Struthio camelus: one gene and its partners. The protein of the gene in region 4 purifies or fractionates together with the protein of the main gene of each other region. This does not show direct contact. Links are inferred from orthologs where the notes say so. Each region holds a gene or a part of one and is shown on either strand. Other genes may lie near its edges. The genes, in order: MRGBP, EPC2, H2AZ1 and RUVBL1.

Region 1 (7,808 bases), on a different chromosome or scaffold from region 4:
CAAGATACCATGGCAGACACCACACAGCAAAAAATTCCAATGGAATTATTAACAGGAACAGTTAGGAAATGCTAAGTAGGCAAAACATATTGCTGTACCTCAGATTTATTATGATTTTGTATTGAACTATTAGTGTAAAGTTTATTGCACCTAATGACTGAGAAGCATTCGACTGTGGTTCGACATGCCCCTATAACTGCCTGATTAAAGGTGCAGATGCTTGAGCTTCCTAGCTCCTACCTTGGATAACAAGTACTAAATAACAGACATACAGCTAAGCTTTGACAATCTGACTTGCACTATTTAATCTAAGATTTCTGTCAAGCTGGTGGAGAGTTCTACTGGATTAGACAACACAGACACACCCATCTGGAGGGAGTGAGCTTTGGAAGTATCAGGTAGCTGAATCCTAAGAATATAAAAACATGAAGAAGTGATTTTACAGTGCAATGAAACCACACTAAATCTTTACAAATATCTCTGAACATTTAATATTGTTTTTGTTTTCAATCAAAATCTCTGTTTTCAGACATAAAAAAATAGTAATGCTCTTAAAAGGAAGCTATATGAACCATATTTAAAAAAAAAGCCAATACCCTAACACTAACAATGCAATGATTACACAAGCACAAGAAGTACTTGGTAAAGTCCATGGCCAAGCAGCAAGTTTTTCTAGCTATTGTACATGCAGATGTTCAGTAAGAGAATATTCCTGGAGCATACTTTTAAACATTAGCTGAATTGCTACTTAACTGCCTTATTTCATTACATGTACAGAAAATTGTTATCACAGAAATGTTATTATATACTAATTGTATACAGGAAATTTATACAAATTATATTCAGAAATCTTATTTTCATCAGTTCCATAGATCCTGCTCCTGAAAGATCTTACAATGTGAACCATATAAAAGTCTGCAGATCACCTATTTCAGCAAAAATTACGGTCAGACATGATACTAGAGTAGTCGCAACAAAGTGAAAAAACACCCACAATAACCTACTATTCATTTTACACTACAACCGCACTTTGCCTCTCATTCTGCATACAGGCATCAGTGAAGCATGCGGATCTTTCACGTATACCTAAAACGAGAATTTGCATCTAAATGGTAAAAATGGAACCTGTTTGTCCATTAGTAACGTCCAATCCATACTAAACTTAATAATATGAGAAATACTGTGTGGAATAAGACCAAAGGCTTGCATAGCCCACTAGCAGGTCTCTGACTGTGCAGTCACAGAGGCTGATACTGACAATATGAACAGCACAAGCAGTGTGATCCTTTCCCTGTCAGCAAATTAAAAATTCATGAGATAAAGTCGTATCTATTTAACACTTCTTTTCCTTGATGCCTCCAACACACCACCATTGGTGAACGGCCAAGAACAGCCTTGGATTGCCATGTTATTATTTTCTTTTTTTGGAGTTCTGTTAAGCTACTTGTTCTGAACTGAGATTAAGGTCAGCCAGGAATAAAAGGTTGCTATGACTTCTTACCTTCTCTCACTTCTTGAATCATTTCATCAGGAAGAACAAAATTCTTCTCTATGTTGGGGAACGGGAGAATCTCAGATTCGTGCTTAGGAAGAAAACAAAGCTTTCTATGAGTGATCTTGATAAAACATTTAGTTTGGATTTAGAAATGCAATTCCAAATTCTACTTTATATGCAATTAGTAGCTAAATAATTCTTAACAAAATACTTCAGACCCTGGAGAATCAGGAGGCTCCGTACGTCAAACCAGATAATAACATCAAGACATATGCAATCATGACGAGGTACTCCTGGGACCTGATCTTGGCAAATTCTTACTTATGCACGCTATATCCTCCCTATTTGGCACTTAGAGTTAAGTATCTACGTAAATGTTTGCCGAATCAGCATTCAGGCAACCAAAAATCACACAAAGTCAGCACCGAGTGTGGAAAAAACAAAAACACTGCAGGTTCCCTTATCTCCCACCTAATGTACCTTCATACAGGGAAATCCTCATCAACTTACCACATGATACCTAGTTCTTGGTACCACGAGAGGCCGAGTGATTTTGTCCTATCAAAACTCCTGAACTACAGGAAATAAGAGCACTCCTGCATCACTTTATACTCACAAGAGCTTGCATATCATACATGGTGCTCAGATGGTCCCAAATCACTTTAGAGGAAATCTGCCGTCCAATATTCTGACTGAATTTATCTCGGATACAGATCATGTGGAAGTGGCGATTCACACCTGGGGCAAGAACTCAGAGAAGTTAACACTGACAGTTATTACTTGTGCCAGAAAATTAAAAAAAAAAAAATCATTATTACAACAATGAGGGGAATCATACAGCACGGCAGGGAGACGCACGACAAGCCGGGCAGCCTAGTATTTCATTCTGCCTTACAGGCGCTGCTCTGGAGGTGGGCAGCGGGTGCCCCGCTTGGTACTTTCACACGGGGCCGCAGCCAGAGCTGCCAGTGTGAAAATAAAAGGGAAATAAGTGAAAATAAGCAAGACGGGAGGCGAGGGAGCTGGGCAGCGAGGACGGCTGGCTCCGAGCCCGGGAGGGGCCGGCGCCTCCGTCCCCGCAGCGCCGCCGCTCGCTCGGGAGCGGCCCGGGCCCGCGAGGCCGCTAGGGGCAGCACCGCAGCGCGGCGGCGGCCGCCAGCCCCGGGGGGGGGGGGGGGCTTCACACGCCCCCCGCCCGGCCCTCGCCGCTCCGCGCCCGGCGCCCGGCTCTCCTCCCCGGCCAGCGCCGCTACTCGAGCCCGCGGCTCGGCCGCGGCCTGCTCTCACCTACGGGCTTGTGGCCCAGCATGGCGTGGAAGAGGCAAACCTCCACTTCGGGGCTCCACACCACCACCGCCTCCTCCGCCGGCACGCCAGGCTCCGGAGCGGCGGCAGCGGCCGCGGCGGCAGCCGCAACGGCGGCGGCGGCGGCCGCGACCGCCGCCGCGGCCCCGGGCCCCGCCGCCGGCAGCGGCGGCTTCTCCACAGCGCCCGCCGAGCCGCCCTCCGCCTCGCCCATGGCCGCGCCGCCGCGCGCGCAGCGCCGCGCCGCCCCCTGGCGGCCGCCCCGCGCCCCGCCGCCGCCGCCGCCGCCGCAGCGGCTCCTGCCGGCCGGGCCGCGGCGCGCGAGGGGCGGGCGGTTGGCGCGCGCGAAGGGCGGTTGGCGGTTGGCGCGCGGCGCCCCGCTCCTGAGGCGATGCGGCATGAGGCGGCCTGGGGTGGTTCTGGGCTGAGGGGAAAATACCCCTTTTAGGCGCTTTCGTGGAGCAGGGGCGGGTTTCGAGGGGAGTTTGCCGCCCGTGCCCCCAGCGGCACCGCTTGGCGGCCAGCGGAGGCTCTGCCCCGAGGGACGGGCTAGGCCGCCTCACGTCCCCAAAAAGATTTTCACCAAGCGAGAAAGAAGCTTTAGGGTTTCCTGTGTCGGCCGTGGGGCAGGGCAGGGTGGACGCCCCAAACGGCCTTTCCGGCCCTGTTCTGCCGACGTTTTGGCAGAACCCTAGAGCAGTAATACTGACGCTGGCGTAAAACGCAGAGGAACCAGAGATACAGTAGAGGCTTTTCAGCGTTAAGTGACCCGAAGAGCTGCTGTTTGAGATAAACGAAGAGGGGGAAGGTGGAACAAGAAGATTAGAGACAGAGCTGGCGGCAGACCTGACACCGAACCCCCCTGTCGCCATAGCCTCGGCCACCCCAGCGCTCACCCCCGTTCCCATTGTCCGCCCGAAACGCGGGATTACACTAAGGAAAGATCCCAAATGATGCACCAAGCCCCCAAACTGCTAATCATTGTGACAACAGGATCATTTTATTGGAACCCGTCGTTGATGCTTAACAAATAATTACGCCTTAAATGCTTTAAAATGTGGAACCCACTAGCTTTGCTAGTCTTTTAAGGCATTGAAAAAATACTTCATTTAGGAAAAAAGAGTATATATCTTTCCCTCTGTGATATGTTTTTTTTTCTTCTTTTTTTGCCTTGTTAGGTATTATTAGACACACAAGCATGAAACAGGACTTCTGTTGCTTAGGTGATCAGGTTTTCCTATTGCTCACTCATCACTTGAAATCTTAATCCTTTTTGTGACATTAAAGTAACTTCAATAGCACATAGCAATGACATCATATGTAAAGAATGACTATTCCGAGTGAATAATAAAACAGTGGGGGAAGAAGCTCACAAGCAAAGAGACGTTGTTTTCGTGCAAAGTATCCTAATAATAAAAAGTTGGAAGGGAAAACAGAAATTTTCTGAAATGGAAAATTTTCTGTACCTTTGATACCTAAAGAATTAACTAACTCATATCATTCTTTGGGGCCTGATGTAATGCTTAAACCTAAAACAGATTAATCTAACATTAAGCGAATATGTGAAATGGGTTTAATCCAAAACTTCACATCTGAAGTCTTGGCACCTTTGACGATAAGAGTCTTGGATACGAATTCCTGAAGACAAATTCTTATTTCCATCCGGGTTCCAGCTGGTGTCTCAAAATGGAAAGGAATCTCTCACCCCAGTCTGGTTTACATGCTGTTGAAATTTTGCAGGAATAACTGTTTTTGTGAGAGCTCTGTCCGGACTGACAGAGCTCTTGCAAGAATGGCTTTTTCCCACTCAAGACTGTAGGAAACTCCAGAAATACTTTTTCTATCTGCTCTCATCTCTGTATGTATGTTCTGGCTGTGATGAACCTGCCGTTAAACAGCTCAGACTTCACAATACTTTCCTCCTTTGAAGCCAAAAATACTTGATTAACAAGATTTTGCTGAGTTTGAAATCAACTGTGCATACTTTACCAGTTAAATGCAGCCCTCTAAATCTAATAAAGTACTAAATCTAATATGGCTCTTAGATCTGTTTAATCTTCTAATGTTTATTTGATCTATGTTGCTACCTAGTCCTAATTTGCTATCAAAAGAGAAGGTTATGATTTCCTGTGATGACTGCACAGCAGGAGTAAATGAGTTCCTGAACAACTAAATTCCTGTTTTCATACAAATGTTTCTAGGCATAAAAAAAGAAGAAGAAAGAAGAAAAGCAAATAAATTACAGAGCAGACAAATTGTTCCTTCATAGACTAATTTTCAAAGTTTTGCAGGAAGAGATTATTTTAAGTCTGAGTGAAACACTGAGCTTCAGCGCTCTCATCTGTCAAATTGTGTTTCTACTTAAAGACTATCATCAAGAGGGAGTAATTGTGTCAACTCAGATAGCAATTTTTATGTCATTAAATTCTGATGATTAAAAAAGTAGCATGTGAAACGAAATGTGAAAAACATATGGCTACCTCTGAAAGTACAATAGCATGTGAAAATAATTTAATTCAGTAGAATAATGTTAATTCAGCAGGAAGAGTATATGCATAAACTGATTGCTATTCTATTTCAATGGCAAATAATTACATTTCCTTGTGTCTAAATTTTCTTGTTTCTTTCAGTGCCTCTAGAAAACATATATGCAAGTCTATCATAAAGTCATGTGCAGCCACGACATGGCTTGGGACCAGAATTTAAATTTTTCTATTTTTGATTTTCATAAAAGTTTTTTTTTTCCCCCTTGTTGAACAGATTTTTCAGATCGTAACAATTTTTCCCTCCTTCCTTTGTTCAATCTTAAACTTTACTTTTGATTTTAAGCAGATACCAACAATGTAGGACATGCACAGTTCAGTTCTTATCCTTTTTTTCTTACATTTTAGATCCTTCTTAACCATAGAAATCTGGCTGACTATTACAGCAACAAAAGGTGCTCAGCCCTTTGCTAGATTATGCTATGGCCCTCGGGAGATATGATCTCATATTTCATAAGACATCGCAGTCAGAACAACTGAGAAATATGCCTAGCATTTGGCATTCTCTCTAGAAACATTGGATTTCTGGGATAAGCAATATGGCTACAACTATTTCTGTCATTATTTTAGAACACCATGTGTTAGTGCCCTTAATGAAATAAAAACTTCTTTCTGAACACTGGATAATTTTCGGTACGCCACATGAGCATTTATAAAAAGGAGGTCATCTACATCCTTTTGCATTAAACCCAGCTACGTAGCTTTTACTAGACGTTTTTAGAACATCTTCAGTACAGAATCCCAAAGATTTTTTCGGATGTAGGTAAATGGAACCTCACGGGACCCCTAGACAGCATTACCAGCTTTATTTTACCGAAGCTGAGAAACAGAACTATCAAACAGTTTGCTCGAGACCTTGGACAGGGCTCAGTACCAGAGCAGAGGCATGTGCTTGGAAGTCACTGCCACCTAATGCTGGATGTGTGTCACTAGCCGCAGCTGCTTTTTCTTAGTAACAGGCTGGGTAATTAGTTACTATACTATGCCTATACCTAGTTTTTACACGCACAAGTACATGCACCTTTTTCATGAATTCTGGGCCCAATCCTGCACCAAATTACTCTCCGTTCAGTAAACACTCGTACAAGGGAAGTGATCTCAGTGCCGTGACGTATTTCAGCATTTCCAAAAATGAGCTCCTTTCTCAATTCCTTCTGAAAAGAGGACTTCTAATCTCATCTGTGTCCTATGATCCTGCCCTTTAGCACAGCACTGCCTCTTCTGGCAGCTGGGAGATATTCTCCAGCTTTCCTGCAGTCACCCAAGTTCTTAGCAAACGAGTGTATTTCATTGTGTCAAATAGGAACACTGAACAGGGAGTTCTCCTTCAGAGTAGGCCTCCATGACTTCTTTTGGGGGCAAAAATATGGCATTTAATTCAAAGTAAGAAAACAGACACACACACAGAGCAAAGAATAGGGAAGCAGCTGTCAGACAGAGGATACCTTCTATTTGCTGAAACATATGTTCTTGAACTGAACTTTTCCCTTGTGATCTGTTGTGCTCATTCTCCCAGCAGAGAGAGGCTAGATATTAGATGGGCATCAGATGGCAAGCCTTAGAAAAATAGGCTGAAAACAGTGCAAATAATCATCTCTAAGGACGCACAGAGGCGTTTATTACTGCTACTGTTAAGCTTTCAAAATACCCCAGTGCAGAGTGGGGAGTGGGAAAGGAGAAAACATATTACTGATTTTTCGGTTTAATAAATCCATCTTGTCCCAGGCTTGCAAAGAAGCATCCAGAAGAGTCAGTAAATTTCGGATGAACCAGGAGAGCACAAGAATTTGTTCATTACTGTCTGGTTATCCTGAATCAGCACCAGAAGACTTAATGGCATGGTTCATTGAAGGTGATTTTTATTGATTGCACCCAAACTGCATACCAAATTCAAGCCGCACTATCCCAGCTGGTCAACACAAATCTACCGAGATTCTCTTCTTTGCTAATTTCAGTGTTGTGATCAGGATTCTCCAGATCATTTTTTCTCTGAGACTTTATTTTTTATTCATCTTTCAAAACAAAAATACTACTCCTAAAAATAAAAAAGAAACTACATAAACATAAAGAGACTCCAGAAGGACAACAGACAAGCACTAAACCTGACTAGCTGATAATTAAATGACAACAGCCCTTTCCACTCCGCCTTCCACTGTGGTGGAGGGTGGCAGCAGATTTTCACAAAGCACCTTCAGGCACATGCAAACCTTGATGAAATATGCAAGTTGGTGATTTGGGAGAGTATGTTAGGGCCCTCTTTTCCATTTCTACTTTGAATGTCTGGATGTATTCACAAATACCCTGCAGCTTCATTAGGGTACAACATCTTGGTAAGATTGCTTCCTAGGATGGACCCGATGCATTGGCAAACGGTAGTGCTGTGGTTACAGAAAGCTATGGTAACTACAGCTTAGTTTGAAATTTGGCTTGCAGTGAAGATACATCAGCAATACCGTTCAGGACTA
Region 2 (7,942 bases), on a different chromosome or scaffold from region 4:
AAGCAGTGATTTATGACATTTTAATACAAATAACCTTAGTATTAATACAAGAAGCAGGTGACAATGATTAGAATTCCCTGAACTTTAACCCTATCCACGTTCCAAACACAATACTACTACTTAAATAAAAACTTTATCACCAAAAATAAATCACACTAAAAACAAATGGACTAAAATCTGCATTTCTGTATATATAAAATATTAATCACGAACAAAGCAGTTCATATGCCTGTACCAGCAAGACTAGGTTGTAAAGAACAGCAGGCAAGACAAACAGAGCAACCTTAGCTATTTTAAAACTTGAGAAATCTGTAAATATATATAATTATTTCCAGTTAAAAATCAGATCTGGAAGACAACACTTAACCCCATGATCCACTGTACTGCAAGATCCTTCTGTTTTCACTGAGGCTTTACAGATATAGCAGCACACCAAGGATGGAAGTATACTGGGGCCACAGTAACATGAGCTTTGTGTCTGTGTACAGCAAGTTCAAATCATGAGCTATCCTAATGGTTCAGCCACCTTTCACAGGATGTATCCCTGGCAGAAGTCTGAGTTTAAAAAGGTCCTGAGACACCTAAGTAACTGAGATGTCAGAAAGGAGTATGCGTATATACCCCTCCTCCAAAAGTCCCTCTCAAAATAGACCAAATCACATCTGAGTAACGCTTACTATGATAAAAGCTGTTTAAAGTGAAGCCCTCGAATATTTAACTACTGTCATCTACAACAGCAGCCTTTCCCAGAGGTGCTTTACGTGCTACTAACACAAAAATCTACATCAAAAAATTATTTGTGCAACCCAGGGAAAGGCCTATACCCTAAGTGAAACTGTCATTACATGGCAATAATATAAACAATCTGTTAATAATATTGTTTGGCTGATGTATTTAGCATTAAGCTTGTATACTGCATCAATGACCATGTCATTCTGAGATTATGGCATAATATATCAAGTACAGCCACATTTCAGTGCAGGAAAAAAACATACAGAAAGAAACATTTTAGTATAACACTAGAGCAGTTTTATTAAAGTATAAATCTAATCCTCTTCACAGTCATTTAAGCAGCCCACAAGCACCTTGCTTGAACTCTTAGAGAAATTTTTCCACTAACAAATTTAAAATATGAGTTAGCAAGAAAACATTTTTTAAAATAAGCCACACTTAATAAACATCAAATGCAAACAGAGGACTACAAGGCAGACTTTATTGAAATCTAAGAAAACCATATTACCCTCCAAGATTGCTGCATTAGTATCACATCGCTGCTCATTTCAAATACGCTCTCAGAGTCTGGGGCAGATTTACTCTTTGGAAGTTTTGATCACAGTGCATTACAGACTGCAATACGGTGAAGTAAGCAGCAGAAGAAACCAACGGTAAGAGAGAGAAGGACGACTTCTAATATCAATAGTCAAGTGAGAAAGCCAATCGGAAAGGCACGAAGCTTCCTCTGACAGCTGTAACCTCTGAAAAGCCAATCCACACGCACAGAGGTTTGGCTGAGGCGGAGACAGGGATTCATTGAAGAAACTCTTGAGGGTGCCTTTACTATCAGCTCAACATGCAAGTGCAGACACATGAGGGCAACAACCTAAGTCTAAGCTAGACACAACTCGAAGGAGCATAGGAGTCGATGTTTAAGCATCAGTAACACAAAACAGCACACACAAGCAACAGAGCTGTGGGCATACACTTCCAAAGTGCTGCACCAATGCTTTGAAAACCCCGAGAAACTTATCTTTGCCTTAAGGGGACAAAACTTCTTTCTCTCTATCGTACTAGGGAAAGGAGAACAAGTATCGCGTACGTATTTTTAAAACTTGCTTAGTTAAAAAAAAAAACCAAAAATCTAAATGCTTAAAAGCATAATGCTTAATGCAACACATCCAGCTGCCGTGCCTGACAGCTGGCGTACACTCTGCAGCACGAAACGCTTCCCCCGCCCAAGTACGAACAAAAAGCGTTCTTATAAAAGCTTTCTCCCAAAAACTACCAAGAATTTATTAGCAGCGCATCTGCCACAACCAGCGTGCTTTAACGCGGCGGGCGGCCTGCCGGCTCGGCACGCCGCTGCCCTGTCCCGGCGCCCCGTCCCGTCCCTCGGCGCTCCGCCCGGGGGCCGCGGCGGCAGCAGCAGCAGCCGCACCGCCGCGGCCGCGCTCCCCTCGCGGGGCCCCCCCTGCCCGGCCCGGCCCGCTCCCGCCGCGCGCACAAGGCGAGCGGCGGCAGCCAAGGCGCGCTACGCCAGCGGCGGCCCCAACGCTCGCCCGCTCATTCAGAGACGCCTCTTGCGCCTTCCTCCTTCTTACGCTAACGTAAAGGCCTGCCCCCCCCCGCCTCCCCCCCCCCACTAATCAAAACACTCGCGAGTCGGGACGCAAAGAAGATGGCGGAGCAGGGCCCGCTTACGGCGTCGGACAGCAGTTTACGCTGCGCTCTTTGCGCAGGGCCCCATAAGAGCCGTGCAGCGCCGCGGCGGGGAGCGTGCGTAGTGCGCTTGGTGAATGCCAATGGCCTATTTCCCGTGAGGGGAGGGGGGGTGTCTGATAAACAATGGTGCCCCCCCTGCGCGGCTCCCTTACCGATTCCTCCTCTTTCTCCATGCCCGTGGGCATCTGCGGCACAGCCCGGTTGATGGAGACGCAGTCGTTGAGGTCGGGCATGTCCTTGCCGCGGTAGATGGGCAGCGGTTTGGCGGCGTCTAGCGCCCGGGCTCGGAAGGAGAGTTTGCTCATTGTCTCCCCCTCACAATAACACCCCGGGGCCGGGCGGGCGGGGGGGCCCCTCACTGCGGCCGCGCCGCCGCCTCCCAGCCGCTCCCGCACCCGGCCCGCAACACCATGGAGGGTCCCGCCGCCCCGGAACAGCTCTCCGCGGGGCCGCCCGTAGCTCACAGCGCACGCCCCGCAGCCCTAGATCCGCGCCGGGCTCGCTCGATCCGCTCCCTGCGCCATGGCAAACATGGCGGACATTAACCAAAGCGGCCAGCGATCCCGACAGCCAACGCGAGAGCTCGGAACGGGCGGGAGGGGGGGTGGGGGGGGAGGCGCGGTGCGCGCGCAGCCTGAGGCGGGCGGCGGCGGCGGCGGCGGCGGCGCTGCTGCTGCTGCTGCTACTGCTACTGCTGCTGCTGCTGTGAGGGGAGGGCGGTTGAGGCGGGCTGGGACGGTAGCGGCGCCGATCCCGCCGAGCCGGGAGAGGGGACCCGCCGTCCCCCGGCTCGGGCGGCGGGGTAGAGTGCGTCACTAGAGGCGGGTGGGCGCTGCGCGGCGCTGTGGCCGCGCGCGCCGACCGTTGGGGCCGTTAAACCGCGCAGCTTGCGCTCGCCTCCCGCCGCAGGGCTCCAGCCCGAGAGCCGGAGGTGGCACGCAGGACCCGAGCTCGTCCCCTCGGCCAGGTAACTCTCACGCCTTATCCAGGCTGACACCTCGGGTGTTTTATTCCCGAAACGATCGGCCGGAAATTTTCCCTCTGGAAACGGCCTGACACCGAGAAGGCGTAAGACGCACCGTGCACTCCCCTACTCCCGTAGTACGTTCGAAGTATATTCCCGGCTGCTCCTCACTGGGACGAAATTTCCTTGTTCTCAGAGATGATCTCAGGTGCTTCAGCCTCCTCAGGCAGATTGTGGCTCCCCAGCAGCAGCTCTGTGACACCTGTCAAGAGTGCAGCCGTAGCAAGTTTTGCTGGCGGTGAAACTTAACGTCTTTATCCTTCTTTGTATTTTTATGTGGGATTACGCGGGCTCATCGGTTATTTTGGGATTACAACAGATTTTAGCAATAAAAACATCTTCAGTGGTGAAGAGAATTCACTTAGGTTGACATAAGTTAACTTGGTGGCACGTAACCGCCCTCCCTCAGATTAGCGTTGTGTGAGGGACGATCAGCCTCCTGTGAGAGACAGCGTTCATGCTGTGCAGCAGCGCTTCAGCTCCGCAGAATCACACGGTCCTCGCTGTGTTCACAGCTCCCTCGCTACCTTTTGGACTTCAACACATCCCTGTAAGGCAGCATTGCTCACTGTTTAAGCATTGCTTCAGTTAGAAATGTGTGCTGTGCAAAACAAGATAGGGTAAAGGCCACAGACTTCAGTTATGTCACAAACTAACAGTGCAGAAATAAGCTCATGCCTGCCCAGGATTTTTTTTTCCTTCAGGAGCGATTTCCTGTATTGCTCTTTACATGGACTTAGCCTTGAAGAGGGGCAGAAGGTCCGTATACTGCAGAATCCTGGTACAAAATTTCTCACGTATGAAATTTTGTACTAAAGTTTTGTCAACGTCTGGAGTTACTTAAGGATAGCTGTGTGTTGTATGCGCTGGCATGCTTCTGCTATAAAAGTGCCCTGTTCCTATTTGGTTTAGCCCACTTGCAAAGTACACTAAGCTAAACAGGAACAAGGCACCCAGCTTACCGAAGAGTACTTTCAACATGGAAGGAATAAACCTGAGCTGCCCGTGTGAACAAGGCTACAGACTTCTACCATTTCAGAGCTTCCCACATCTATTCAGTGTAGTGACTTTAATCTGCAAAGCCCTTTGTAAAAGGTCTTTAGTACTTCAAATACTCATCACTTGCATATTATCCTGACACCTTGCGATCAGGTCAGCTGCTTTTCCTCATCTCTTCCTTATAGCTCTTAGAGGAGTTGTCAGTACAATCTTCTGTCTCTGGAACTAGCTTGAACTGTTAGTCAAATAAAACTTGAGCATGTTTCCCTTTGGAGTACATGCCAACCGAGAATAACATTCCATTTTTTTTATTTTAAAAAACGTTGACTAAGTAAGTTCAGTCACTGAATTTTGCAGAGTGATTTAGAGTTTGTTATTAGTTACCTGATGCATTTGGTAATTATATAGTTTAAATGCAACTCCTGTTCATGATAAACACAACATTTACAAAATGAAGAATAAAGAATTGCATCAACTAGAGAGAGAAATAGAGGAGATGATGGATCAAGTGCAATAATGCACAAGAGGAAAAAGAAATGACAATAACTTTACCTACATAACCCATAGAACTGCATTAGCTTGGGAAAGAGATCTGGAAATTATGTTAGCTACTTCTATGAAAGCATCAGATTAATGTTCAATAATAGTCATATGAACAAGTGAAGCATCAAAGATTATGAGAAAAGGAACAAAGAACAATACTGATACACTGCCCTTATTTATAATTTCCTTTAAATATTTTTACTCATAAAGAGACAATTCTTGATTTGGATTATAATTAACACCCTTCATGCAGAAGCATATCATAAACCAGTTCAGAGAGCTAAGTACCAATCTTATGTGCTTATAGCTGCCAAACCTGTGTAGGAGGTGGACGGCTTCACTCTTCATCAGCTGAAAATTTGGAGCATGTTTCAAGAGTTAATGCCATGTGCTAACAGTAGAAAACATGCGGAACTTGTATTTAAGCCAGGCAAGGAGATCTACAGCAGCACCTCTGAATCTTCCATTACTGCGAATCAGGAGCAATTCTGTTATGGGAATTACTCCACAGAGATTCAGGTTCTGAACTTCCTTCTGCAGTAGAGATTTGATTAATTTTTGACAGTGCCTTCTGACAATGTTTCTGTTTGCACAAACACTTGAAGTTGTGTAATTTACAGTTTCGAATTTATATTTTAGTTAAGCACCATTTGAGAAGCAGCCAAATTTCCACCACCCAAAATTGATTTGATATCCCCAGATTAACAGTTGCTTGGTAGTAGCTGAGGGCTGCCATTTTTCAGAGAGCAATTGCAATGTGCTTCTGCATGAGCTTTGGATTTTCAGTCTTACCATGTAGCACCGAAAGACCAATATTCAGATCTTCAGTCAAATTCAACTTACAGGCTCTTTCTGAGGGGGGAAACTGTGCATCCTGTTCATCCTCGCTGATCTGTATAGCAATGTAGTCCCACCACCTGAGCCCGAGAAAGTAGAAATTAAAATAAGGATAGAGTAGTTGACAAAGTATATGAGGGGCATGAACTCCGGTGTCAGTAAATAAAATGCATTTTCAGTTCATGGTTCATGAATTTTCTGTAAAAACACCCATTATATAGATTCCTTAGTTGTCAGTTACATAGTTGCAGCCCTGCTGTACAAATAACACGCACTTGGAAAGGTTAGGCTAGCTGCATGGGACAGGCAGTTCCTTCTGAGGTACTTCCTCAAGTAGTTAACTGACAAGAAGGATTTTCCTCTTTCTGCTTCCCATCCAGCAAGAAAGAGGCATTTTATACACTGCCATAAGATTTTTTTTTTTTTTGCTTTTTCAGTTAGCACAATTGAACCATAGATACTAATAACCTTACCCCCTTTGTGTGCATGTTTTGTTCGTTCTTCGCTGCTTAAATCAAAACAGAAAAAGATGCAGCATATTTACCCTCAAGGTGGCTGTTGGTCCCATTATTTTATTTTTATGCACAATGCAAGTTTTTTTTAAAAGATGCCCTGTGGTATACTGAGCTTTTTTTATATAGTGAAAAAAGCCATTGCACATAGCTGAACATGAGTAAAACTAAAGCTTCAACTTATATTAATACTATGTAGCTTAGCTTTAAGCCAGAACCATACATCTTTTTAGTACATACTCTTATCTCTTCACCTTGCAAAATATTACCGATTTTCTGAAGAATTTTAGCTGTAGAAATAATTGCCAGCTGCATTTGACCTAGAGATAAATAGCTTACTTTTGATGCACAAATCAAGGAATCAATGTCGCAAACAACATAATTTGTTCAGTAGTTGAATCCTGAATTGTCTTCATGTTTTCTATGTAAAATAATGCAATTAAATATACACACTTGTATGCTGGATGGACCAGAAATAGCCAGATTTAATTTGCACACATATATCTGTGGAAATCTATGGAAATCTGTTAGTCAGGATGAAAAAGAAACCCAAGAACTGATGGTTTGGCTCCCAGCAAGTATAGTAATATTTGCTCTAGCCATGATTATTTTTCAGACTTCCCAGACTGTTGGTCTCTGTGAAAAAAAGATATCCGTTTTATTATAAGTATCCAGTTAACAATGTAATAGACAATGATATATAATGTCATAGAACTTCTAGGATACAGTTATAAGATGGTAGGAAAAGTATGTATCACCCTTTTAGAATATAAGGTATGTATCATACCTTAGATACAGGCTATGGTGCTTTATTAGCTCAAGCACAGCACATCCTTGCTTGTTGTTTCTGTTTCTCTATAACGACTTTTAACACAAGGAATGCTTGGCCACACTGTAGTTGGTTAAAGGCTGGATCATATGTGGAGGTCTTTCTGCAGTTTTTTTTCTCTTTTTCTTGCTAGTAATTTACAGTTCACTGATCTTACACGAAGCAGAAGAACTGTTTATGGATAATTACGTTAAGAATTCTCAGTGTACTTTATTGCAGTATGACGTATCATGAACATTTAGTAGTTCTTTGTTTTATATGTGCTGTTTCCTTGTAAGTACAAGGTGGAAAGAAGTATAAAAAACTGCACGGACAGTATAGAAGTACAGATTCCAGAAGTGGTTTATGGCCTCTGAAAAAGCATAGTACAGTTCAGTCTTGTAGGGTGTTTGAAACTTTAATTAATTGTATAGTATTAAAAGTTAACTAGAATTTTAGGATGCTAATGACTTGACTTGTAAATGCCCAGAAGTAATCATCTAGATACCAAGCGTATAAGAGAATTATCTTTGAGTGTTAGTCCTCTGCAACACGCCAAATACATACTGCATGAAGGTTTGAAGATAAGATTGTGAAAGTAATGATGATGAGTCAGTGCTCAGAAGGCAAATGTTTCCGATGTCATTGACACAACTATTGTGTATTCAGGGTTCCTGTCTTGGTAGCAGAAGCAGCAGCCTCATTATAAGAGATTTTTGATCTCACAGTTAAGCAGAGCTTCACTAGAAGAGAGCCTAAAAGCAGCCAGGAGGCTGGCTG
Region 3 (6,894 bases), on a different chromosome or scaffold from region 4:
TGCTTTTACAGACTTGTCCATTGCCCTTCACTAGAAGAAAAGCTATAGAAATATGCAGGCAGAAGTTTATATTTTCAGCCTCCAGTCAAAAAGCTCCCATTCTTCTTCATCCACGATAGCTGGAAGGTTACTAGCAAGTAACACTGTCCCGAAATAGCAGAGCCCTCAGATATACCTTTCTAAAAGGTCATTCTATGCATCAGGCTCAATTATTAAGAATCTGTTTCAACCTCATGAGGTGAAGCATGCACACCATGTCACTCAGAGATGGCTGTATCTACTAAGTGCAGAATTCTAGGACTATGTTTCCATTTGAAAATGGACACCTGCAGTACTTCGCAGCTTGGAGAACTGTCACAACTGTGTGTTCTTGGAACTACTCTTCTTCAGGGCTCCATTATTGAGACCAAGTGTTTTCCAGTAGCACATGAGACAATTAGTATTGATATAACATTTATTGAATATTTCCACTCTAGTGGATGAAAAGTCTGTACAAAACCAAACATTTCCTTTACTTAATCAAACCGATCTAAAAACAGTCAGCTCAATCAAAACCCACTACAAATACAATAGCTTCTTTGAAGCCATGGTAACACTTAAATACGGTTAAGACTTCAATGCAGAAATTTGGTTTGTTAGAAAGCTCGGTGAGCTTTAGCTTCTCAAAGTTACAAAAAGGCAAAATTGTGTTTCACAGATACAGTCCACTGGAATCACCAACACTGGACAATTAAGTACTTAGAGTCCTGAGATAACACAGAATCCTGGTATCCTTTAGACAGTTTTCTGTTGTCCTTTCTTTCCAATGAGAGACTTGTGGATATGTGGTATTACACCTAAGAGAGAACAATACCAAGAATTAAGATCAAGTTATTCCATGTTATCAGATTTGGCTAAACTTTACACTTCAAATAGATTAAACAACCTTTGAGACTACTGGACTCCTTGTCACTTAACACAAAGTTAGAAAGCAAGTTACATACCACCACCAGCAATTGTTGCCTTAATGAGAGAGTCCAATTCTTCATCTCCTCTAATTGCAAGCTGCAAGTGACGGGGAGTGATACGTTTCACCTTCAAGTCTTTGGATGCGTTTCCTGCCAGCTCAAGAACCTGAAGACAAGAACATTTTCAGATTGAGTTAAGCAAGTCACACGAGACCAATTGCATTGCTTTAGCAATTTCCTTCTTTACAACAACTGTATAGTTACCGACAAAAAGATATCAAACAATGCGTCTTTTTTAGCCAGCTCCTCTTTTAGAGCTTTGGATTTAGTTTCCCCCAAGGAAAGAATGATGTTTTGCAGCAGACAGAACATGCTGTAACTGCACATTTTATGAAGTACTTCACCATTTGTGTCTTCAACATAAGCCACAGCTACTTGCTCTGCATAAAATCCAGAGCAAAAATTTCCATACATGCTTTATGGTCTCCTCAAGAAGCATGTACTTCACAAAACAGGCTTAAAGCAAATGAAGAGTTCATAACCCAGTCTGAACTGGCAAAATACAGGAGACTCCAGTCATTACACCATTTCAGCTGGACTGACCAACTTGCTTGTACCCCTTGCAGCAGCTTTACCTCAGCTGTCAAGTACTCCAGGATTGCCGCGCTATACACAGCAGCTGTAGCTCCTACACGCCCATGGCTGGTGGTCCTTGACTTCAGATGCCTGTGGATGCGGCCAACAGGGAACTGAAAGATAAGAGAAGTAGGAGTAGGCTGTCACCATAGAAACAGAAGAAAAACACTATTCTGAAATACTCTGGCTGCAGGGATTCTGTTGTCTAGCATATGCAACTGGTGCTAGTTGAATTCTAGTGCCAGAGATGCTGTGTAGCACAGAAGACTACATTTCAACACCTAGTATACAGTGTCCTTAGCTGGATTCCCCAGACGACATCAGCAACTTCACTTCACAAACCACTAGCAGTAGCAACCGCAAGGCAATTCTCTTCCCCAGCACAGATGTACAGCAAGTCCAGAGCATGCTTGAGCCAAACACTGACATATTTGAGGATCAAACAGATCTTTACACCATTCCAAATAATGGACAGAAGGCACAGCCTGTCCAGATTTCAAAAGGTACCACCTGCAAGCATAAAGCCAACCTGACTTCCATCTGCCCATGCCCCAGTCTCTGCTCACCTGCAAGCCAGCCCTCTGAGAACGGGACACCGCTTTGGTCTTGGTCTTTCCAGAGTCCTTCCCAGCTTTACCACCAGCCTAACAAAGAAGAGATACGTGTAAGAACAGATACGTCCGCGGCAATGCTACATCCCCCGCCTCTCCTCCCCTACCTGTCAGGGACCGCAGCCAAGGTCTCAGTCAGGGACCGCGCAGCGGCGGCATCCTACCCGCGCATGCGCTCCCGGCCCTTCCCTCCCGCAGGGCGGCACGCGCTACGCCAAGGCGCGTGCGCTCTGCCCGCTACACCTAGCGGCACAGGCCGCTCGCCGGGCGCATGCGCCGCAGCCACTCCCTCTCCCCGGCGGCACCAGTGCGCGTGCGACCCTCCGCGCGCCCCTCCCCCGCCTACCGGCAGGTAAAGCGCCTGCCGCTGCTTGCGCGCGCTCACTCGCTCCCTTCCCCCGCGCGTGCTCCCACCTCCTCCCAACTGCCGCCACCGGATCGCCTCGCTCTCTGCCATCGCCGAGGCGGCGCGGCCCCGCGCCCCCCCCTCCCCTGCGCGGCTCCTCACCATCGTGAACGGGACCGTAGCGCCACGCACGGGGACACAGAGGAGAAGAGCGTCCCGCACGCACCGAGCCCAGGCGACAACGCTGACCTGCCCCGACGCGCCGCGATTCAAACTGCGCCCGCTCCCGCCTTCCCCCGGCGCTTTATAACCGCCGAGCGCGCCTGCATCCGGGAACCCCAGCCTCGCCGCCAGCCAATCGCCGCAGGCTGGGGCGGGGCGCCTTCGCACGGCGACAACCAATGGGAGGGGCGGGGGGGGCCGCGCCGACCTCGCTACGACAGAGCTGAGGGGGGCGCTGGCGAGCGGCGCCGTTCCGCAGAGGGCCCGCCCACATTTAAAGGAGCAGGAGCCTACGGCTCGCGCCGCGGCAGGGGGGGGGCCTGTTCCGCCATGCCGGGCTGTGCCGGGGCCCCGCCCGCTCGGGGCGGCCGGCGGTGCCTGCGCCGCGGGGGGTGGGGGGGGCGCGGCCCTCCGCTGGGGGAGGGGGTTCCGAGCCGCCCGCGCGGGGAAACCGCGGGCCTCGGCCCCAACCGCCGCTGCAGCCGGGTAACGGCCGCCCGGCTTTGAACCGTGCGTGTCGTGCCCCCCCCCACCCCCGCCCCCGTTTTCCAGTTACTCGGCGCGGTTAAGACGCCTTCCCCGAGGGAGCTCGGCGGCACGCCCCGGCAGAGCTGTGCTTGATGGCTTTATGCAGCTATTTAAAAGAGAAGCTGAGCGCCTGTCAGGTAATGAGCTGTGTATTAGCCAGCGAGATTCTGAAAAGCCTTTTCAGCATCTTGCGTGCTGCTAGGTGGGAGAGTCATAGCCGTAAAAGCATTGCTTAACCAGTCGCTGTTATTAGGTTTCAAGCTCTCAGGAGCTCAAGTCAGATTAACAAGATATGTGAAGTGTGCTCTGATGTAAAATTGCCATCTGAATGGCACCCACTCAGTTGTCACCTCAGACTGCAGACACCTTCCTTCTCTATCAGGAAGTCAGAGCTGCAGCCTTGCATAATCCGCATGCTCGTGTGTGCGCACAACAAGCCTTCCCCACCCCAAATACAGCAGCACCTGGCTCCCACCTGCCCCCCCCCCCAAAAAAAAAAAAAAAAAAAAAATCAAGACATGAAATCAAGTCCTGAAGGCCTCCCCAGACTTCTGAACAGGAATAAATCAAATTGTTAACCTCCCCCCCACACTTCCCTCATGCAACAGTGTTTCCTATCTCACCTGCTGCTTTTGGCAGCAAAGGCAAGCCAATTGTGTGCAACCCTTAGCAGCACACAGAGCGCTTCTCCTATTCCAGCTGCCATCACCATTATTGCAGCTGCAGGAGATGACAGGGATCAGAGGAGGTTAGGAAATGTGGCATTCATAGTAGAAAGCAGATGAGGTTTAAGGACTTGGTGGGGTTACCTGCATGAGAAGTGTTTGCCAGAACTCATCTAGTTGATATTACTGTAGTGCCTAAACTTATAAATAATTATTGCCATGTCCCATTGGACACCCAAGAGCAGGAAGTCTGACAAGACCCTATAAAGGAAGTACTAAACATCAGTCAAAGACAACCATAGTTCTGTTACAGCTATATGGCAAATGCATGGTGCCGGGCAGCTTCTGCAAGAAGCATAGTCTGTTGAGGTCCTTCAGAGAGAATATAAGTCACATGAAGCTACTTGAAAGTATACTCACTCTCACAATGTATAATTTAAGGTGATGGAAGAGATTGTGCTATTACAGAGCAGCCTACAAATAAGGGGGTCTTTATGCTATACAAAGATACTATTTGATAATCATTCTCAGTCAGTTCTTCGACTGAGAGCCTGAACATGATGTGCTTCACACTTTAATTTATCATGTTGCCAGCTGAAACACTTCAATGAAGTTAATTGACTTAGTGTACAAAGCAGTTTAGAAGCAGACGGAATGAGGTTACATCTCAGACTTGGGATGAGGTGCTATTGCTATATTGGCAAACACATGAGGCCAACCAATGTGGTTTCAGCAGAGATGAAGTCACATCAACTGCTTGTGACACTGGGGGAGGGGAAGTGCCAGCATGTCAAACAACTGTGCACACACGCACTAGTTTTTATTTTTACCTCAGTCTTATGTAAGAGCCACATGATTACCAAGGGCAACCCTGCTTCAGACCCATTCATCTTACTGAATATTTCAAACTGTAGTTAAACCATTCATTCTGAATTCAGTTCTTTCCAAGTATAACTTTAAATTAATGCAGTGCAGATGTCCTTTGCTTGGGCACTTCAAAACCCTGCCAATATTGCCCTGAAATGAAGCCTTAGCCCCATTTTTTTGGCAGGTGCCATTTCCAGTGCAGTATAGTTATTTCTGCTGCAGAAAAAAAGCAGCAGACTGGCCATTTAACCTCAGAAATGATTTGTAGGTTTTGTCTGTTAATTTCTCTTTCAGCTCTAAAAAGCTAACTATTCATGGTGCAATTCCAAAACATGATAGATCTTAGTTTTAGATGATGTCTAATTCACCTGGGAGCATCAAACATGCTCAGGCAGAAGTCCTGGTACTTCAGTGAATGAATAGCTGTTTAGAGCTAAGACTACCTCAGTCTGTCATACACTTTACTAATAAAAATCACCAAATTACCCTTTCAGATGTGAATATGTCTTTCCTTAAACCTCAATATCAAAGAGTCCAAGCAAGAGCAGTACTCTTACAGACTGAAGTTTAACAGGAGATGGAGCTGTTGACATGAACTTTATGTAAGGCTATTCTTCTCCACAACTTTTCTTTCTTCCTATCTATAACAAGCCAAAGATACAGAGTTCTAAGATACATGTCTAACTGCTGATGCCTAGAGCTCGTCCTCAAAGTCTTTTCTGCTATATACTAAAATAGTAAAGATTTAAACTTCATTACCAGGGTACCTATTATTGAATGTCAGCCATGGCAATAAGAGTCTCAAATCAAGTTGACACTTACAACCACTTTATGAGCTTGAGCAATTTTACATCAGCAAAACAGACAGAAGAGCTAATAGTTTAGGTGTCTTTAGTTGCTAACCAGCTACCTACGAGCAGGAGTCCGAGTCCCAGGGAGCATTGTCATTTAGCTGCTCTTTCTTCAGAGCCATGTGTTCAGTGCACTGGCAGAATGGACTCTGCCCGAGTCTTCAAACAGTCCCAGATCATATCATCACTACCCTTTACCTCCAAGTTTCAGTTCAGCCATTTTATGCTAGCTAGTCCCACTTCAGGGTAGAGACCTAATTCTATCTAGCTAGGCACAAGCACAAAGGCAGGATCACATTAAGAGCAGACACTCCTACATTCAGGAATTTGGCGTTTTGTTTTTATATTGCTGTCTGGTGCCTCTATCTATTTGAAGCATTAGTTATTTATATTTTCCTTCAACAAACTCCAAGTTAAGGGTTTTTTTTTTTTTTAATGTTAAAAAAAAAAAATCAAGATTTTTACAGAAGCCTGCAGAAGTTAGGATTTCATTCAACCTACTGTTTAAAAAAATGGGTTCTGTCTGAAGTGCCTAGCAAGGATCAATTCACCCTCTTCCTTAAAGGAAACAGAAGCCCATTTCCAGGCCATAAGACCCTCTGGTAATAGTATACTGGATGCAGTAGGAAAAAATTAATTTTCTTGCTGGTTTCTGTCCACAGAAGTCCTAGGAAACAGAACAAAGAGGACTCCTACCAGATGGAAATAATCCCTACCACAGACATTCCTGGCTTCCCACACAAGTCTCCCTGACAGTTTGCTTCAGCTGCATGCTTTTAGCCACTTAAGGCCTCTTACAGTTCCAGCTTGCACTACAAGGGCAAGACAGCATAAAACTGAAGATGGTGCTTTGCACTGATGTGTTTAAAGCAAGCATAACCCCTCTTAGCATGCATCAAAGATCAGGGTAGGTAGCTACTTAAGCTAATACAAGGATGTATAGATACTGAATAGATCAGGTGAGACATATGTTAGATAGGATCGTATATGAAAGTAGTCTCTAATCACCCTAAACTAGCTAACAAGCTTCTCAACATAACCAGCAATCCCTCCCCCCCCACACTATTTAAAGAGATAAAGTAAAACTAATGCAAGTACTCTAGGATTAGTCCAAAAGCAACTTCAGAGCCACTTATAAACACAGATAACTCCTATTTCAATCCCCTGTATGCAAAGGGAACACTTACCACCTCCATCCTCCTGACACAACCAGGCTCCTTC
Region 4 (7,193 bases):
CACGAGCTCAGGTGTCACCCATTTTGCTTGGGCTGCCAGCTTACTAGTGAAACAGAGCAAGAGCTGTTCTTTGCCCAGACAACCAGAGGGATACAGGACAGAATTCATGTGCAAAAAACAGAATTGTTTTTGTTAAGGGTATGTAAGGAAGGAAGACAAATCCATGGGAAAGTCTATTTAATTCCACTGCTCACAAAATCAGTTGCATTTATTTAATAGCCTTATACTCTTAGCAGTGACCTGCAAGAAGGAGGGCTGTAAGGTGGGAACATGCGTTTGTTCTCATTTTTCTCCCTTTAGATACAGGAGAGACTTGTAACTCTCTAGATAAGGCAATTGTCCTTGGGTGGAAGGGAATTTACTTTTAAACAGCTTGCACTTTAATGGAAAAAACATAAGTTTGCTACTGTACCCACAACTTTGTTGGTACCACTCAAAACATACCTCTGTCAAGGAATCTGCAGTCTCTGGATCTGATTTTGCAAAGTATTATCTGAAGGCAGAGCTCTTTGCAAGATCAAGGTCTACACAGTACCTGTAAAATTAATACACTCATGTCACCAATAGCAAGGAGGAGAAGCTTGATAGAGACATGAGCACTTTTATGTGTTCAGACAGCTTCATTCTGTTCACTTAGTTTTAGAATTAGTTACAGATTTAGGAGTTAACAGAGAGCGTTTGTTAAGATTCATCACTCCTCCTTCTTTGATGAAGAGTAGAAAAAGCTTTCAGCTCCTTTTGTGGAGCAGGGAAGGAAATGACACACAGATCTTGATATTACTAAGATGCAGAGAGGAACAAGGCAAAAATTAAAGAATCTCAAGTCCTCTATTTCTCTGCATCTGTCACAAAGCAACGCGTTTATAGCATTTAGCTGTTTTCCTTGTTTTCTCTTCAATGTACCATTCCCCTTCCCAGTTCTTCTCTCTCCTATACTGAATTTCTTCCTTAAAAGTGTTCATTTTAATTGCTAACGTTTTTAAGGACTCAGGGGAGAAAGGGCAGGAAGTCAGACTTTTGGGATAGGGTAAAAATGTAAAGGTCATTCACACACTCACACACACATACTCTCTCTCACTCTAAAAATAATACACTATTTGACAGTTTCAGGATTCAGCATGTCCCATTGAAATTTGAAAGCTTATGTGAAACTAGGCCATGTCCTGTAACCTCAAACATTTAGTCTAGGAAAACAGCTCTCAAGTCTCCAGCTCCCACATCGGGTATCACATGACGTCTGTGCCAAATAAGAGACCTCAAACGGTTTGGCGGGGGGGGGGGGGGGGGGGGCCGGGAAATGTTGGTAAAATGAGTTGATTAAACCTGGGGAATAGTAGTTCAGACTGTTAGCGAAAGGTATTATTTTTCTGGTTAACTGGATAGTGAAATATTAAATTATGCTCAAAGCATCTATAACAGCATATGAGATGGACAGAATGGTCTCACAACCTACTTATGTTCCGTTTGTTGGCATGGACAAAGGAGAAAGATGACTCATGCCTTTCAACAAAATAATTTTACCCTCCCCTGCTCTAATAAGTATGTTAGCTATTCGAGATCACAAAAGTCACATTAGGCCGCAGTTCACTATTTCTCAAGCTGATGCATCATAACTACACATTAGACATCAACTTTAATAGACCATTTAAGCTATTTAAGTTCCACTCTAAGCTTTCCAGTAGTTCCACTTGTACTCTGCTCTTTCTGAGGAATAAACAATTAATCCTGTGTGGTCTAAAGGACTATTGTTTATTTTCCCTCACCTAAAGGTACTCCTTTCTGCCCTTTAACTGCATTTTCAGTATGGTGCTCAAAGAACATATGGAATGAGTAAAATAATCAATACAATAAAATGTGCCAAACCAATCATAGCTTATGGATGAGAGAAAGTCTCTTAAATTGATACCAACTCAGGCAAGTAAGAGGGAGAAACCAGCCTCACTTCTGCCAAACAAACAATTGTTTACTGTTTTTTTTTTTAATTGAAATATCAGCTTTTACTGCAAATGCAAACCCAAACCATTTTCATAACAATCTCTGCAGTCAGTACTAAAATTGTGCCTTCAACACGGCACTAGTTTTATTTACTGAACAGAGGTGGTCACTAGCAGCCTGACTGTTAGGCTCTATTCCAATTCTATTTTGGAAACATTATGTTGTTAGACAAACATTTAACACTTCTGTTTTTCAGTTTCCTCTCATGCTAAATGGCTACACTACTGATCTTTATCAAATACTCTGTAAACTGCATTAGTATTTCTAGAGTTCAAGATTCTTCTGCAGCATATCTGGTCTTTACACAAATGGAATATTTCTCTTCTTCCTCTAAATTATAACGATAGTTAACAGCAATTCTCTGTCCTTGCCCTCTACATTTTTATACTCAGAAATCCATCACAGAGAAACAAGGAAATGTTACCAAGTAAACTCTGGAACACCGTAGTCTCAGAAATGGCCTAACTGCAACTTCAAACAAGATAATGACTTAGACTGAAATCTGTCCATACACTCCATTTGAACTAATGGCTATGTATTTCACCCGCTACCAGCCCTTCTTTTTTAAAAGGAGGGCCATGCGTAGCAGAAGTCTTAGAGAATTTGCTATTTTTTTTTCCTAGAATCAGCAAAAACTTGAACTCTGACCGGACTTACCCACAACACTTGCAGCAGTTCAATGCACTAGAGAAATCAAAGCTGTTTATTTGCTCTTATACAAAAGAGAATTTGCAGTTTAGTATATTAGGCATTTGTATTCTGTGACTGATATAGCCCCAAAAGGATGTAAAGAGCCCAATAGTATACATACTTTTTTAATTACTTAAAGGATAGCTTATATTTATTAGGTTCAAGAGGAATTCTTAGCTAAACAGTCACAGAAGATGATACTCTTACAAACGTGTTGAACTATGCCATATGTGTGCAATTATATTCTAATTGCAATTTAAGCTAGATTATGTAAATATAAATTGATAGAACAAGTTATCAAAAAAAGAAAGCAGCAAATAACTTTTTTTCTTTTTTAAATGAATAACAACTAATGGAGGCCCCTAGACAAAAAGAAGATGACTAAAAGTGTTCACCAGGCTTTTGTAAACTCAAATACAACACCCATCGCCTCTAGAAGCCACTCTCATAGCTCATACTATCACCCAGCTGCTTTGGCAGTTCGCCCTGGCAGGCCACAGAGGAGCTGAACGGGCATTATCCCGTGGCACACCAGACAGCAACCCAGCATCTTATCGCACTCACCCGCTAACCTTGAACACTACAAGCACAGCCGCTGCTTTACAATCAAGTGCACAAACTACAACAAATTCACTGGAAGAGAATCTCCTTTTTTGGGACAGCAATCCCAACATTTACAAACGGGGATGATAAACACTAGTAAATTGCTGGAATAGCAGCTTCCGAGGTCCTGTCTCAGATTTCACAGTCAGACATGTCCATCTCAGGCATTTGAACCCTAAACAGCAGAGGCAGCAGTTACTGCTAGACCACTATCACTTGAGCAGTAGGGTATACAAGTATAAAAGCTGTAGCCTTGCACAGCTAAGGAAACAAGGGTAAACTCTGCAGCTACCTGTTGAGAAAATGAAGTATTTTTCCCTCCACTTCAGGAGATCATAAAGCCCAGAAAGAGGGCATTTTTGGTCTAGGCACAGCACACGCGAGCTGTATGAAAGCCAAGCTAAAACCACAGCTGCTTAAAGAAATGCTTTGGATATGCAGAAAAACATAACTATTTCTCAGTTAGGTGGAGAACCAGAACTCAGCACAAGACTCCCAGCAGACAAACACCGAGCAAGCCCTCCTCGAGGGGGCGGCCCGCTCTCGCAGCTAGGCCTGGCGCTGGCTTCGGGAAGGCCTCGCTCCCCTCGCCCGCCTGCCCCGTGGCCGGCCACAGGACCCTGCAGAGCCCCAGGCTGGTTAAGCGAAGGGGAAGGTGACTGCCGAGCAAAGAAAAGCTGAATTTCCCCTCCAGGCGTCACGGTACCCGCCCAGTCCCTCCACCGGCCCTGCCTGGCCCCGGCCCGGCTCCTCCGCGGTGCCCGCACCCGGCCGGACCCTCCCGAAGCGCCGCGCGCGGAAGCGGGTAGACGGACTCTAAAAGAAAAGCACCCGCCCGGGGTGACAAGCAGGCGCCGCGCCCAATAAGCATCGGGAGCGGCGGGGCGGGGGCCAATGGGGCGGCGGGGCGGGCCGAGGCGGCCGCGCGCCGGGAGCCTTGGTAACGCGCGGGCCGCGTGCGGGGAGTGCGGCGCGGAGCGGAGCGGCCCCCGCCATGAAGATCGAGGAGGTGAAGAGCACCTCGAAGACGCAGCGCATCGCCGCCCACAGCCACGTCAAGGGGCTGGGGCTGGACGAGAGCGGCACGGCCAAGCCGGCGGGCGCCGGGCTCGTGGGACAGGAGAACGCGCGGGAGGTGAGCGGCGGCGCGGCCTGCCCGGCCCGGCCCGGCCCGCTCGGGACGGCGGTCTGTGCGCGCCGGGTGCCCCTCTTCCCCTTCGTCCCGCTCCCTTCGGCGAGCGAGGCTCGACCCGGCCTCCTCCGCTTACTCCGCTGCTGCCTGGGAAGCGGCGCGGGCAGCCCTGGGCTGCTCCTTGTGCCGCTACTCTTGTATCACCCGGCGCCGCGGGCAGGTGACAGCGTCCCGGGTTTTAGGCGTAGAAATTGAGGTATGGAAAGCAGGAAAGCCCGCCTAAAGTCAGCGATTTGGTGCAGCTAGGGACCGGCGCTTCAGTTGCAGTCTGACGGCTGGCCCCGGGCCGGCGCTTTAGCCATTCTGTCTTTCTGAAAGTCACAGAGCCGTTTCTTGCTTCATTCTTAAACCTTAGTGTGTGTGTGTAGTCCTGGGAGGGACCGGGGGATCCTGGGACTGACGGAAGTCTGTGCTTCTACATCTGGGTTTTGTTGCTTGTGACTTTTTTCTCAATCTCTTCAGCAAATAAAATGATTGCAAGAAGTAGGTCTCCCTGATCTTGCTTCACTTTTATATGCTTAAAACTGAAGTCTTCTTTAATTTTAGTGGGTTCTCAAAGCCTAATATCTCTAAGTACTTTAAATAACACTGGAACGAAAGATACTATAGCAATGCGTTTCATAACAGTTTAAATGTTTACTTAATTTATAGGCATGTGGGGTTATAGTGGAATTAATCAAAAGCAAGAAAATGGCTGGAAGAGCTGTGCTGTTGGCAGGACCTCCTGGAACTGGCAAGGTATTATTTTTCTTTTGATATGGAGTAAAGTATCCCCAAATTATTTTAGGTCAATCTGTTGTCAAAACCATTGTAGGGCAGTAGTTGCAGGAGGTTTCCATCTACTGGAGGTTTTTTCATGATTGTATTGCCATGGTTTCTTGCTTTATGTTTTGATTTTTGCCATGGCTTCAACAGTAGCGGTATGCAGTGGTTTGTTCAGGCATCATTAGCGTGAAACTATCTTATATAGATTAACCAAACACATATGTAACGTGCATTCTGAAGAAAAGTCTTAGAAGTTAATTTAGTATTAGAGGCCTTAAAAGTTTTTGCTTTGTTTTGTTTTTCTCTTGTTATTTAACGCTTATTGCCTTTTGTACCAGATGTCAAATTCAAATGCCTGGTATTGTTTCTTTAAAGTGTTGTGCAAGTCCTAGATAAAAGCTACTTTATGTGTGTTGAATTTGTTTGGTGTGGGGTGGTAGTTATATGTGAGAAGTCTGTAAGTCAGACAGAACAGGAGTAGTATTAAAGTGATGGTTTGGATGAAATAGGATATGATGAGTGAAGTTGGTGCTGTGGAGAAAGAATCCTTTGTTCTCATGAAAAATGAAGTGCGTAATTTTTTTCCTTTCTTTTGAAGACTGCTTTAGCTTTAGCTATTGCTCAGGAACTGGGAAGTAAAGTTCCCTTTTGTCCTATGGTTGGAAGTGAGGTCTATTCCACTGAGATCAAGAAAACAGAAGTCCTAATGGAAAACTTCCGGAGGGCAATTGGTAAGTTTCAGAAAAAATAGAAGAATTAAGTATTTATATGATTTGTGACCCTGCTTGAGCAGGGGGGTTGGACTAGATCATCTTCAGAGGTACCTTCCAACTTCAGCCATTCTGTGATTCTGGTTTTGTTTTTGCCCCGTAATCTAAAAAGGAAAAGCTTCTAAGTGGCCTTGGTGGCTGTCAGATCACAGCCTGTTCTTCTTTTCAGTGCTCATCTTAACTGGGTGAACGTCTTCCACCCTTAATGGAGACGGTAGGGTTTTCTGCATATAAGACATAATTTAGTCATCATATCCCACAGTTATTTTGGTTCATTCTTCTTCCCCAGACTCACTTCTCAACTTCCAGATTCATCTCCTGGTTTTGTCTGTGGCTCTCAAAAAAGCTGAAAGAAAAGCTATTTTAGTTTTTTTATGTTAACAGAAATATTGGTAGACGGCAAAGTGCTCTCTCCTTTTTTCTTTAATGATTTCACCGTAGTAAGCAAACAGTCTTAAGCAGGGACTCCCAAATGGCAACGTTCAGCCTAACTTATTATTTCGGATGAGCACAAAGTGAGTTCCATGCCAGCGAAATAAATGCCTTAACCTAATATCTTCCTCAGCTCTAGAGGAAGACACAAGGCTTTTACAAGCTTGATATAGGTTGGTTAAATTTGCAACACAGCCCACTGAGTATCTACAATCTTTTATATGATTGCTGCTGACAGCTGATAAATGCAGTTAGAAGTGGACCTTGTTTATGAGGATTGCCTAAAGATAGCCTAGTTGACTTTAGTACTGAACGTATTAACAGTTAATTTTCTTGGCTTCTGTATCATTATTCCCCTCAGACTTCATCTAAGTATTTCATAGCAGTAAGGTGAAGAAATCTCTCAGTGGTGCAACCAAACAAAACTATTCCGTTGACTTTCATAAGAAAGCAATTTTCAGTAATCTCTGGTCTTCTAGTCACCATAAATCTGGCAGGGCTTGGGGGAGGGAAGCCAGACTCTAAGTAGTCTGCAGTGTTTCCTTGATGTGATGAAGTTCCCTGTCAGAGATTTTGAAACTTGAACCAACAGATGAAACTTATGCCATCTGTGTTGTCATTTCTAGAGATAGCAGTATTTTAAATCTGTCTAGTTAACAGCCAGCTACATTGTTAGTTCCCTGCATTCCCTGAATGTCAGTAGAGAGAAAATTCTAAACAAATATTGGTGTTAATGAAAGATCCAA

What was found.
Region 1: the proteins of RUVBL1 (region 4) and MRGBP purify together in Homo sapiens (co-immunoprecipitation; 6 studies listed by BioGRID and IntAct, counting the BioPlex papers as one, with this or other methods). This does not show direct contact. The link is inferred for Struthio camelus from reciprocal best matches to the Homo sapiens genes RUVBL1 and MRGBP.
Region 2: the proteins of RUVBL1 (region 4) and EPC2 purify together in Homo sapiens (co-immunoprecipitation; 3 studies listed by BioGRID and IntAct, counting the BioPlex papers as one, with this or other methods). This does not show direct contact. The link is inferred for Struthio camelus from reciprocal best matches to the Homo sapiens genes RUVBL1 and EPC2.
Region 3: the proteins of RUVBL1 (region 4) and H2AZ1 purify together in Homo sapiens (affinity purification with mass spectrometry; 6 studies listed by BioGRID and IntAct, with this or other methods). This does not show direct contact. The link is inferred for Struthio camelus from reciprocal best matches to the Homo sapiens genes RUVBL1 and H2AZ1.

The regions. Positions count from the first base shown.
Region 1 is NC_090959.1:16,133,716-16,141,523, reverse strand, and holds the start of MRGBP (MRG/MORF4L-binding protein), read right to left. Parts: upstream 3,015-7,808; coding exon 2,783-3,014; intron 2,246-2,782; coding exon of another isoform or gene 2,234-2,245; coding exon 2,112-2,233; intron 1,584-2,111; coding exon 1,502-1,583; intron 1-1,501.
Region 2 is NC_090947.1:43,602,501-43,610,442, reverse strand, and holds the start of EPC2 (enhancer of polycomb homolog 2), read right to left. Parts: upstream 3,005-7,942; 5' UTR 2,745-3,004; coding exon 2,592-2,744; intron 1-2,591. UniProt on the Homo sapiens protein: May play a role in transcription or DNA repair.
Region 3 is NC_090945.1:27,839,258-27,846,151, reverse strand, and holds H2AZ1 (histone H2A.Z), read right to left. Parts: upstream 3,007-6,894; 5' UTR 2,706-3,006; coding exon 2,703-2,705; intron 2,547-2,702; coding exon of another isoform or gene 2,466-2,546; exon of another isoform or gene 2,242-2,465; intron 2,228-2,241; coding exon 2,150-2,227; intron 1,697-2,149; coding exon 1,583-1,696; intron 1,114-1,582; coding exon 984-1,113; intron 837-983; coding exon 775-836; 3' UTR 437-774; downstream 1-436. UniProt on the Homo sapiens protein: Variant histone H2A which replaces conventional H2A in a subset of nucleosomes. Nucleosomes wrap and compact DNA into chromatin, limiting DNA accessibility to the cellular machineries which require DNA as a template.
Region 4 is NC_090955.1:7,417,567-7,424,759, forward strand, and holds the start of RUVBL1 (ruvB-like 1), read left to right. Parts: upstream 1-4,181; 5' UTR 4,182-4,282; coding exon 4,283-4,423; intron 4,424-5,131; coding exon 5,132-5,218; intron 5,219-5,843; coding exon 5,844-5,976; intron 5,977-7,193. UniProt on the Homo sapiens protein: Possesses single-stranded DNA-stimulated ATPase and ATP-dependent DNA helicase (3' to 5') activity; hexamerization is thought to be critical for ATP hydrolysis and adjacent subunits in the ring-like structure contribute to the ATPase activity.